Linked DNA regions of Saccharomyces cerevisiae S288C. The gene in region 1 interacts genetically with each later gene. Each region holds a gene or a part of one and is shown on either strand. Other genes may lie near its edges.

The links.
Region 2: mutations in THP2 (region 1) and RRP6 together harm fitness more than expected from each alone (negative genetic interaction), as found in Saccharomyces cerevisiae (5 studies listed by BioGRID).
Region 3: mutations in THP2 (region 1) and PAT1 together harm fitness more than expected from each alone (negative genetic interaction), as found in Saccharomyces cerevisiae (5 studies listed by BioGRID).

The regions. Positions count from the first base shown.
Region 1 is NC_001140.6:437,342-440,627, reverse strand, and holds THP2 (Thp2p), read right to left. Parts: upstream 1,287-3,286; coding exon 501-1,286; downstream 1-500. Other genes in the region: putative GTPase MTG2, read right to left, coding at 1-251; anaphase promoting complex subunit CDC23, read left to right, coding at 1,578-3,286. UniProt on the Saccharomyces cerevisiae protein: Component the THO subcomplex of the TREX complex, which operates in coupling transcription elongation to mRNA export. The THO complex is recruited to transcribed genes and moves along the gene with the elongating polymerase during transcription.
Region 2 is NC_001147.6:325,254-329,089, reverse strand, and holds RRP6 (exosome nuclease subunit RRP6), read right to left. Parts: upstream 2,259-3,836; coding exon 57-2,258; downstream 1-56. Other genes in the region: PHO80 (Pho80p), read right to left, coding at 2,960-3,836. UniProt on the Saccharomyces cerevisiae protein: Nuclear-specific catalytic component of the RNA exosome complex which has 3'->5' exoribonuclease activity and participates in a multitude of cellular RNA processing and degradation events.
Region 3 is NC_001135.5:250,883-254,718, forward strand, and holds the start of PAT1 (deadenylation-dependent mRNA-decapping factor PAT1), read right to left. Parts: upstream 1,747-3,836; coding exon 1-1,746. Other genes in the region: type 2C protein phosphatase PTC6, read left to right, coding at 1,963-3,291; SRB8 (Srb8p), read left to right, coding at 3,489-3,836. UniProt on the Saccharomyces cerevisiae protein: Activator of decapping that functions as a general and active mechanism of translational repression and required for P-body formation. First decay factor recruited to mRNA, at a time when the mRNA is still associated with translation factors.

The DNA.
Region 1 (3,286 bases):
TGCTTATTATACCGTTGTAGATAGTTGACAGAAGTGACTTCGCCCAGAGGAACATTAATGTGTCTTGTGTAACTGACATCATGGTCGGACTTTTTCTGTTCTGGGTGAGTTATAGGTCTTAGGGTTTCTAGCCATTGTTCATTGTCAGCCGCTCTTGGTGCATTATCAGGAACTTTCGTCGAATATACTCTTGGTAAAAATCTTTCAAGCCGTAATTCTCTTTTGAAAACGCTAGACCAAGCTATCGACATATCTAGATGCTCTGGCCGAGGACTGATTCTTGATGATATTCTCAGTACGTACACATCCTATTAAACGCTAAATAAACCAGCATGTTTTTTCCTTCAGTACTATTTCGGGGAAGTGAAAATAATAGATAGAACAAATAAAATATTAAAAAGCTCTTTAAAAAATAATACAATTTTTCTCTTTCTTCCCTCCCACTCAACAAGTATGTATAACTCTATCTAACTTGTGCAGGCTGGTTAAATAAAATGTGCTTATTCTAAAACTATGTCACCTTCTTTATCTACAGGATAGCTTTCCGATGGAGCATTTATTTCAGACTTTAATGAATCTATCTTCTGGATCATTTTTTTCATAGAATGTGCATCATCACCGAACATAAGCATTTCTATATCGTCCCATTCTTTTCGCCAATGGTTTAGTTCCTTTGTCAAAGTAGAGAGTCTTTCCTTTAAGGAATACTTATTCTCTAAACCAAATTTGGCACGTGCCATTTTGATCTGATCTAGATAGTTCTTGATTTGAGCGTCTACACCACGTATATCAGTATCAGGCGCACAGTACTGCTCGAGAATACCCTGAAGTTTCTCAGATGGAACCCATTTATCCATTTCATACACTGTCACTGATGGATCAGACACTTCCACCTGCTTTGCTAAATCAACAGAAAGTCGCTTCAGTAAATTTATGTACCTTAAAGTATCCCTATTCAAATGTTCGAAAGTAGAATAGTACTCGCTAATACTCTTAGGATTCTGTACTCCCGCTGCAACGTCCCTTCCAGTTTTTGTATCCTCCAAAAGCTGTGCTTCTCTTGTTTGATATTTATCGTATCGCAGGCGGATGGAACTATTTATCAGCTCCCTGTGTAAATCAGGCAACTTCTTGAGGGATTCAGTAAGCAGATCATCAGATGATCTAGGGTCTGCCAATACTGATAATATATCTAAAATATTTAATAAGTGGGTTTGGCTTTCCTGCAAACTTTGTTCCTCCTCGCAGAGAGATTCAAAATACGTACGACCTTCTTCCTTTGTCATGCTATGAACTTGATAACTTGAGCAGTGTAAACCTGATAAACTAGTCGCTGTTGTTTCTTACTGTAAGATACTGCACTTCTGCAGCTTCTTAAGTATTCTACTTACCAAGTTTCTATTATTTTTCAATGCGCGTACATAAAAAGCACTTCGGGTAAAACAAACACTTCATAATAGCAGACCAAGTACTGCGGTACTCACATCAAATTAAGAGGAAGAAGGGAGTATTAGCGAGCGGAAAACTGAAATCTGGATATATACTGATCAGAATCAGATTGTGAAGCATTTAGAACCATGAATGACGACAGCCAGGATAAAATAATACATGATATACGTATTCAGCTACGAAAGGCTGCCACAGAATTATCACGATGGAAGCTATACGGCTCCTCAAAGTGGGCAGCAGAGGCGCTAGCAGGTCTTGCAGAAGCTATTGATGTTGATCAAACACACTCTTTAGCCGATGAATCGCCACTAAGAAATAAACAAGGTGTACCGAAACAGATGTTTGAAATACCACAAAACGGGTTTGGCCTATCAGAGACTGAGTATGACCTGTACCTCCTTGGTTCTACGTTGTTTGATGCTAAAGAGTTTGATCGATGCGTTTTTTTTCTAAAAGATGTCACTAATCCATACCTTAAGTTCTTAAAATTATACAGTAAATTTCTATCGTGGGATAAGAAAAGCCAGGAAAGTATGGAAAATATCTTAACTACAGGGAAGTTTACGGACGAAATGTACAGAGCTAACAAAGATGGGGATGGTAGTGGGAATGAGGATATAAATCAAAGTGGGCACCAACGCGCCAATTTAAAAATGGTCAGCAATGAGCATGAGTCACAATCGAACATATCATCTATTTTGAAGGAAATTAACACATTTCTGGAGTCTTATGAAATAAAGATAGACGATGATGAGGCCGATTTAGGGTTAGCACTGTTGTATTATTTACGAGGGGTCATCTTAAAGCAAGAGAAGAATATTTCTAAGGCAATGTCGTCATTCTTGAAATCTCTGAGTTGCTACTCCTTTAACTGGTCCTGCTGGCTGGAGTTAATGGACTGTTTACAAAAGGTTGACGATGCATTGCTTTTAAATAATTATCTATATCAAAATTTCCAATTCAAATTTTCTGAAAATCTTGGTAGTCAACGAACGATAGAATTTAATATAATGATCAAATTTTTCAAGCTAAAAGTGTTTGAGGAGCTTAATGGCCAGTTAGAGGACTACTTTGAAGATTTAGAGTTTTTGTTACAAGTTTTCCCCAATTTCACTTTTTTAAAGGCTTACAATGCTACTATTAGTTACAACAATTTGGATTATGTTACCGCAGAAAGCCGATTTGATGACATCGTTAAACAAGATCCGTACCGTCTCAACGATTTGGAAACCTACTCCAATATTCTATACGTCATGCAGAAGAATTCAAAATTAGCCTATTTGGCGCAATTCGTCTCCCAAATAGATAGATTTAGACCGGAAACATGTTGTATCATAGCGAACTATTACAGTGCCCGACAGGAACATGAAAAATCTATCATGTATTTCCGTCGAGCACTAACTTTGGATAAAAAAACAACAAACGCATGGACTTTGATGGGTCACGAATTTGTTGAACTAAGCAATTCACATGCCGCAATAGAATGCTATCGTCGGGCCGTAGATATATGCCCTCGAGACTTCAAAGCATGGTTTGGTTTGGGCCAGGCTTATGCTCTCCTGGACATGCATTTATATTCTCTTTACTACTTCCAGAAAGCTTGCACTTTGAAACCTTGGGATCGTCGGATTTGGCAAGTATTGGGAGAATGTTATAGTAAGACGGGAAATAAGGTAGAAGCTATAAAATGCTACAAAAGATCCATAAAAGCTTCACAAACGGTCGATCAAAATACTTCAATATATTACCGGTTAGCGCAACTATATGAAGAACTTGAAGACTTGCAAGAATGTAAGAAGTTCATGATGAAATGTGTAGATGTGGAAGAACTTCTGGA
Region 2 (3,836 bases), on another chromosome or scaffold:
TCTTAAATGAAAATTACCATAATTTATAAATAAAAAAATACGCTTGTTTTACATAATCACCTTTTAAATGACAGATTCTTACCTTTGGCGGCAGGCCTCCTCTTTTTAGCTGCCCTTGGTCCATTACTATCGCTAGATGATGGGTCGAATCTCCTTTTCTTTTGTTGTCTATTATTTTGGCCAGGCTTATTAGATAAGATATTCGGAATTTTTGAATAATCCACAGCATCTTTTTCCGTTACACCTTTTTCCTTTGCTGGTTGTTTCTTTTGAATGTTTTTCTTCTTTAAAACAACAAGATCATCAAGATTATCAATCTCAGGCGAGTGATTAGGTGCGCTCGCAGGGTCTACTGTCTTAATCTCCTCTAGCTTGACAGGAACAACGAGAGGTTTCTCTATTTCGAATATGATATCCTCCAAGTTTGCTAAGGCAGACTTGAAATTTTGTGCTCGGATCCTGATATCTTCCGTCTTCACTTTATTTGGCAAGCCGTCTTTGCTATATGCAATATCATGCTCCTCACGTGGTAAAATCTTACCCAACAGAATAGAAGAATTAGTGACAGGCTTGGCTCGGCTCTTGGAAATATTGCTGTTGCACAACACCGAAAACCTTTCCATAACATCACGGATTTGAGGAACACTTATAGTCTCCAACAATATTCCGTCTGCTTTGGTCTCGGAAGATGGAATGGGAGTAGCTTCCTCATTGGTGTTCTTGATGTTTCGTAATGCATCTCTTATCAAATTAGCTAATAGTTTTGCATTCTGGCGGACATGTTCAGTTACGCCATTGGTCAAAGAAACAACACCTATGACATCAGTAGGTGTATATGCGACAAGTGCAGCCAATAACTGGTTTGGCATAACAAATCGTGGCGATTCATCGTCTCTTCTTGCAATAAGATCTCTCCATTGGTATAGCTCTCTTACTAATACTTCCCTCTCAGGTGGTATGTTGTACTGATACATCAATATTTTCCAAGGACTCTCTTTTTCGATTGGAGAATAAACTTCTGAAGAAGGTGTCAGTGGTCTGTACTTTGAATATTCAAACCTTCTTTTTGCGACATTTCTTGATTCATAAAGAACACCTGCTAACTTATTAGACTCGATAAGTTTGTTTCTCAACTGGTCATATATATTTAGTAAAAAGTGAGTATCTGCTCTAGCATATGCCGTCATGGGTTTTGAAAGCGGTCTTATACGCCAGTCAGCCAACTGATATTTCTTTGAAGTTTTAAAATTGGCAAAATTCTCCAAAAGATAGGCCAAACTATGTCTAGGAAGACCGATTGCTTTAGACGCATGGTAAGTATCGAAGAGACCAACGACATACAAACCTAAATCTCGCTGAAGCCAAATAATATCCATGAATGCACCGTGAAAAACTTTCACAATTGAAGGGTTCGTAAACACTTCGTTCAGAATATGTAAATTTTCGCGAAGTTTTAGAGTATCAACTAAATAATCCCTTTCCCTTGTACTAATTTGCATGAGGCAAACAATACCATAGTATGACCTATAATCGTGATGCTCAAGATCAACGGCAATCTCTTTCGTATTTTTCAAGTCCTCCAACATTGATTCGAGTTCTGTACTTGTATCTACCCAAATTGGTACCGAATCATCCCAGGATTTTGAGGGAATCTCCTCTCTAATTTGGAGAATTTCTGGACTATACTCTTGATGATCAATCTCATATTCATAAGGATGGGGGTAGTGACTGGGGTTATTTTCATCATCATCAACCAACCTCAAACTCTCAGAGAGTGGCTTCAAAGCATTTGGTTTTTCCTTCAATAAAGGTATGAACGGATGACTTTCGCTGTTATCAATTGGACTTTTAAATTTCAACTGAGGTTTTTCGACTCTTTTGGTGGGAGAAAAATTCTTTCCTGAAAATTCGCCTAAATACTGAAGATCGGAACCTCTTGACTTTGAGTTTATTGCACAATTCAGCTTATCCAGCGAATGGTCTGACATTTCTAACAAATTATCCATGATGTTTCCAAAGTTGTTCCACAAGTCAGAAATGTCCTCTTCTTTAAGTTCAAATGATTCATGATGCTCATCAATAGAGAGGATTATTTCATTCGCCATATCCGCAAGTTTGTCTGCTTTTGATTTCAGATCTTTACTAAATCCCCTGTCTAAATTCTTGTAAAAGTCTACATCTTGACTGGCTAACGATGATGCTGCTCTCACCACATTTATCACCCTAGATAAAAGTACATCCGGATTTTCAGAAGTCATAACGCACTTATTGGGTGCTTATAAGCTGTTTGTTGTTCCTATTTCGTCTATCTTCAGATGAACATTAATATTCATTACTGAAAAATTTTCCGATGCCCTCATATTTTTGGGTAAAATATTATTAATAATATCACGTGAACTTATTTTGCATTTAAAAAAAAGTAAAAACTATTTGCTAAAATATATTTTTTTAATTTTTAAAAATAATGTTTTAATTATTTAATGTATATGACTTCCGAAAAATATATATTTGATAACAAAAATTATTATATGCGATATTGAAATTTCATTGTTCAGTATTTTTCCACTAAAACATGTGAAAGTAATTTTCATTATTGAACATGAAATGGTTCTGTCAAGGAAGTTTTGAAACTAGTATCTGAAAAGAACAGTGATGATATGAATCTACATGTATTTATCAAGTTAATTGAAATGGAGTTCTCAAGCTCATCTCGAAGTGTTTTCTGTCGCTTATGCTCTTATGATGCAAAAAGGCTGAAATAGAACATATCCTTCTTTAGCAAAAGAGGGAAGTTATTCTCTTATATACTACCTGAAATCTTGAACTTTTTAGCCAAATGATGGCCAATTGCTTATTATACACACACAGATATATATATATATATATATATATATGTACAAATGGAAAGTTTTAATTTTGCTCAATCATGATTGCTTTCATAATACCCCACGAAAAATCATTAATCTGGCTTTGATCGCTTGTTATAGATATGTGCGTCCTTTGCCTCAGAATATCGCTTTTGTGAAGAGTGAGAATTGGGTGATGACGACCCCTTTAGTTGAGTAGTTTGGGAGCCACTTTCACTCACTATATCAATATTTGGCGGGAGAACATAATCAACCTTTCTACTCTTATCAGGTGAAGCGTTAAAGGAACCCACCAGCTGAACTATTCTTCGATAGTATTTATCTAGAACATTATATCCACTTTTTGGACGATTAACGTAAGAATAAGAATCCAAATCGAGAGACCCTAATGCGTTTTTATCTATGACAAACTTTTTCTGTTTTTGCTCTATACTACATAACGTAATGTTATGATCCCGCGGAATGATTCTGTAGTTTACTCTCTTTAAAAAATCGTTCTCCAGTATATTCAATTCGTGACATCGTACTCCTCCAACTTTTGCATAATGGGCGTTTGTTGAGAACGAATCACATAAGCCTTTTGTTGCGACTGTGGTGGCTGTTAATAAAAACCTATGGGCAGTCAACGAATTAAGCGTAAAATCAGGATACACAGTTTGCAATAAATCGATATAATAGAGTGATGTCATAAGCACACAATGTTCTAAAGAGGAAAACTTTGTCAGTCGTATGAAATAGTTGAAGATTGATATGTTTGGAGGAATCTTAGAATGGTATCGTGTTAAAGTAATTTGGTCATCAGATTTCTTTGTTGCTGAATTTTCATTGATTGCTATCAGCGATACTAACATTCGTGATATGAGCACCACTAGGTCAGTTCTAGAGCATTTATTAAAATCAGCGGGCAGAATTACTTTTGGTATCCCTTGATCCTCATGTATATTTTCGGAACGTTCTCCTGATGTGCTT
Region 3 (3,836 bases), on another chromosome or scaffold:
CTTCAATTGTGTCAAAGTTGGTTTTGGTGTAGTCTTGTAGGAACTCAATATGATGATTTGCAAGTGTGATAATTCATTGAAGATTTTTTGCAGGATTTTCAATTTTTGCTGCTTATCCAAGAAATTAAAAATTCTAGGCATAATCTTGATACCTTTATCAAATGATAGCATCGAAATGAAAGGGTTTACGTCATATGAACTGTCGTCGATGTGAAGGGCCTCCCACATTGCAGTGCTGTCAGTTTGCTGGCCATTCCTCAAGTTAGCTTCCAAGTCTAAAATCTCTTCATAAACTGTTTCAATTAACTCAAGAATGAATTTTTTGCCCCCAGATTTGTTCAAATTTGTGGCACCATTACCGTTGTTGAACGCGTATGAAGATCTTCTTCTTTGCTTAGAAGCAACAGCAGCGGCAGAAGAGCCCGTAGAGGAGGACCCTGAAGAGGCCAAGTCCACGTTGGTCAGAGAGTCAGTGACGTCTTTTAGCGCATCGGGGTCAGAAGGCTGTTGTCTGGGGATCTGCAGTTGTCTTCTTGGATTCTTGCTGTTCAAAGTGGAAGAGATTTTGCCCAGAACCGTGTTTGCTTGCTTATTATCCTGGCTAGAGTTACCAGCAGCCGCTTGTTGATCCTTCAACTTAGAAGGTCTTTCCTTAGCCACAGTGACAGCCTTTTCTACTTGACTTTGCATTCTCTGTAGGGCAATATCGGTTCTCTTATAGCGACCACCGAGTCTGTGTCCAGAATGTTCCAAATACGCCCTAGCAATCAAACCTTTGTTGGATTCGGACGTGATACCGCCTCTTTGGATAATCTTGTAGACCTGGAAGTAGAAATCCTCATTGTAAGGGTCCTCAGTGACAATTTGAGACAACTGATATCTGGTGATGAAGTCCTTATCACGAGGAGTCATTAAACCTGAGTATTTCAAGATTTTCTCCACTTTGGCATGACGAATCTGCAAACGTCTTTGCTCTTCAGGCGACAAATCTCTCTTCGATCTGCGTCCACTTTGCAGAGGCATTTTAGTTGCGCCAACCACAGGGCCTGGAGAAGGAGTGTTGGACATACCGATGGGTGAAGGCGAAGCTTGAACTGGAACTTGTACAGGACCCATTGGCATTTGATTCATATTCACATTAACGCCAGGAGGTGGAGGTGGAGGCGCAAATTGTGAGGGACCTGGTTGACCCGACGCAGGCTGCATTGGAAATTGCTGCTGAGGCGGACCCTGTGGGAGACCCTGTGGATGACCCATGGCGTGGAAATTCATAAACTGTTGCTGCATTTGACGTTGTTGTCTTTCCAAGTCTTGCATCGACAAGATTGGCTGTAGGGGGGCCATTTGCTGCGGAGCAGGAGCCGGAGCCATTGTACTTTGGGGTGAAGGCGCCATTGCTGGAGGTGGTGCAGTAGACCACAAAGATTCCATTGGCTTCAGGTCTAGAGGTCCTGCTGCTGCCGTTCCATCGGTCCTAGGGCCGCTAATTCCTTCTGCAGTAGCTGCAACATATGATCTAGCCGTGGCACCGACGCCATTACCACCAATTGCGTTGCCGCTGCTGCCGCTGCTGTGAGGATTTCCAAAATCAAAGTCGGTACCAACCTGAACATTATCACCAAATGTTTCGTCGTTCAAATAGTCGTTCTCCTCAAGTTCGTGCTCGCCATAGCCCTTGTAACTCTCTTCAAAGTCCAGAGGACCATCCCGCGCATTACCGCTATTTTCTAACCCAAAGAAGGACATTGCTAGTGCTTCTTGCTGCTCTTACTTCCGGTTAAAACCTTTGCTTCCTTCAAGGTGTACATGTTTCTTTTCATTCACCTTGTTTCTTTCTTTAAAAAGAGGAAGAGGAAAAAAAAAATTTCGTGTAATGCGAGAAGAACAAATAGGGAAGTGATAACAATAGTATCAATAACAGGCTGCAATCGGGGCAATTAAGCATCAGAAGAGGGGAATTTGATGCGGCTGGGGAATGCTTATGCGTATTGCAAGCCGTCGCAAAATGTTGGGCTGAAGCTGGACTTGTTACGGGGTCTTCCAGGGTACGTGGGTCACGCCACGAGTAGGATCAACCGGTTAGAGAACCAGGACAATTACTCCATTAAAATGATGCGGTCGTGGCCTAATGCGTATGGAAGTGCCCTGAACTGCTCTGTATTCGATGGCCATGGGGAGAAAGGTGCGCAACTGTCACAGTTGTTAGCCGATAAATTGTGCAGTAGCCTGGATTTCCCTGAACCCTCCTGGGACAAGCAGGACTTGAAGAAGTTGGTACAGGAATATGCAAGAAGGTTTCCCGAGGGAAATTACTGGAAACATAAGCTGTCCACGTTTGAAAAATTCTACAACAAGTTTATAAAGAACTGCAACTCGAAACAAGAACTGCTGCTGATGAAGGAGGGCGATAGTGCGATCCTTGGACAAAATGGTGGCAGGATGATTTTTGATAAAATGGGGAATATTATTGACAAAATTGCACTGCTCACTGAGCTAGACCGTCTGCGATTGTTCTACGGGTTTGCCAGGTTCGATCTCGACCAATGCTGCGGCCTGGGCACCGCAGCGGGGTCCACAGCGTCGTCCATATTTCTATATCCGTATGATGATCCGAATGCACCCATTGATGAGGGGAAAGACGATGACTCGTGGATCATATCGCACTCTGGATTGCTCAAACTCATTGTCACGCAGGTGGGCGACTCTAAGATCATCCTCTGCGATCAAGACGGGATTGCACACGCATTAACAACAACTCACCACATCAATTCCAGTAGGGAACGACACCGTTTGAGCATAGACCCTTCTCGATTGGACCCAGACGCCTTTGGAGAGACAAGGTTTTTGAATAATTTCGCCAACACTAGATCGTTTGGTGATGTCGCTGGGAAACCGTATGGTATATCTAGTGAGCCGGATATTTTCTCGTTTCTTGTCGGAAATACCTTGCATTTGCCGCGATCTGAAAGGTCGAAGCTGCCCTTCAATGGTGATGAATGCTTCCTGGCGCTTGTCACCGACGGCATCACCAATAAACTTGCAGACCAAGAGGTTGTTGACCTCATCACCTCTACGGTGAACTCCTGGGGACTGAAAAAGGCGACTCCTCAATTTGTTGCAGAGGAGACAATCAAATTTATTCAGGCAATAGCCACTAAACACTCAGACAACGCCACTTGCGTGGTGGTTAGGCTTTCCAATTGGGGCAACTGGCCCAATGTTGACAGAACTGGCCCCCAAAGAGAAACCAAACTAATGAATGCACAATCTAACGAAACAAAATTAAACTAAACACCCCCCTGGGTGGAAACAAGTCCTAGATAATCATCTTTTGTATTTTTTTTCTTCCTTTTATTAGTATGTATACATATATATTACTTTTTATATTCTTTATAGCGCATTTTAAACACCTTTCTGAAAAAATGCTGAGATTTTTGATGCTAATCGAAAGATTAAAAAAAGGTCTATAGAGGTAAGCCAATAACGCGATGAATAACGGTTCTGGTCGATACTTGCTGACTCCCCCAGATGATCTTCACCCCTATGTGCCAAGCTCGAAACCTCAGGAACAAGTATACCCTGATTTCAAGCCTTGGGAGCACACTGCAGCAGAAGATCAAATCCTAGCAAACTTTGTGGCTAAGGGCTTTTACCATACACCAATGGTAAATTTCGAGTCCATATCTGCGAGATCATCTGTTCATGAATCATTAGTCACTCAATCCAACATTCTTTCCCAGCAATTCGACAAAATTATCAAGATTAGAGAAGACCACATTAATAAGATCCCCTCAAATTCCACGACGACATTACACGGGCCTGGTTTTCAGTTGCCT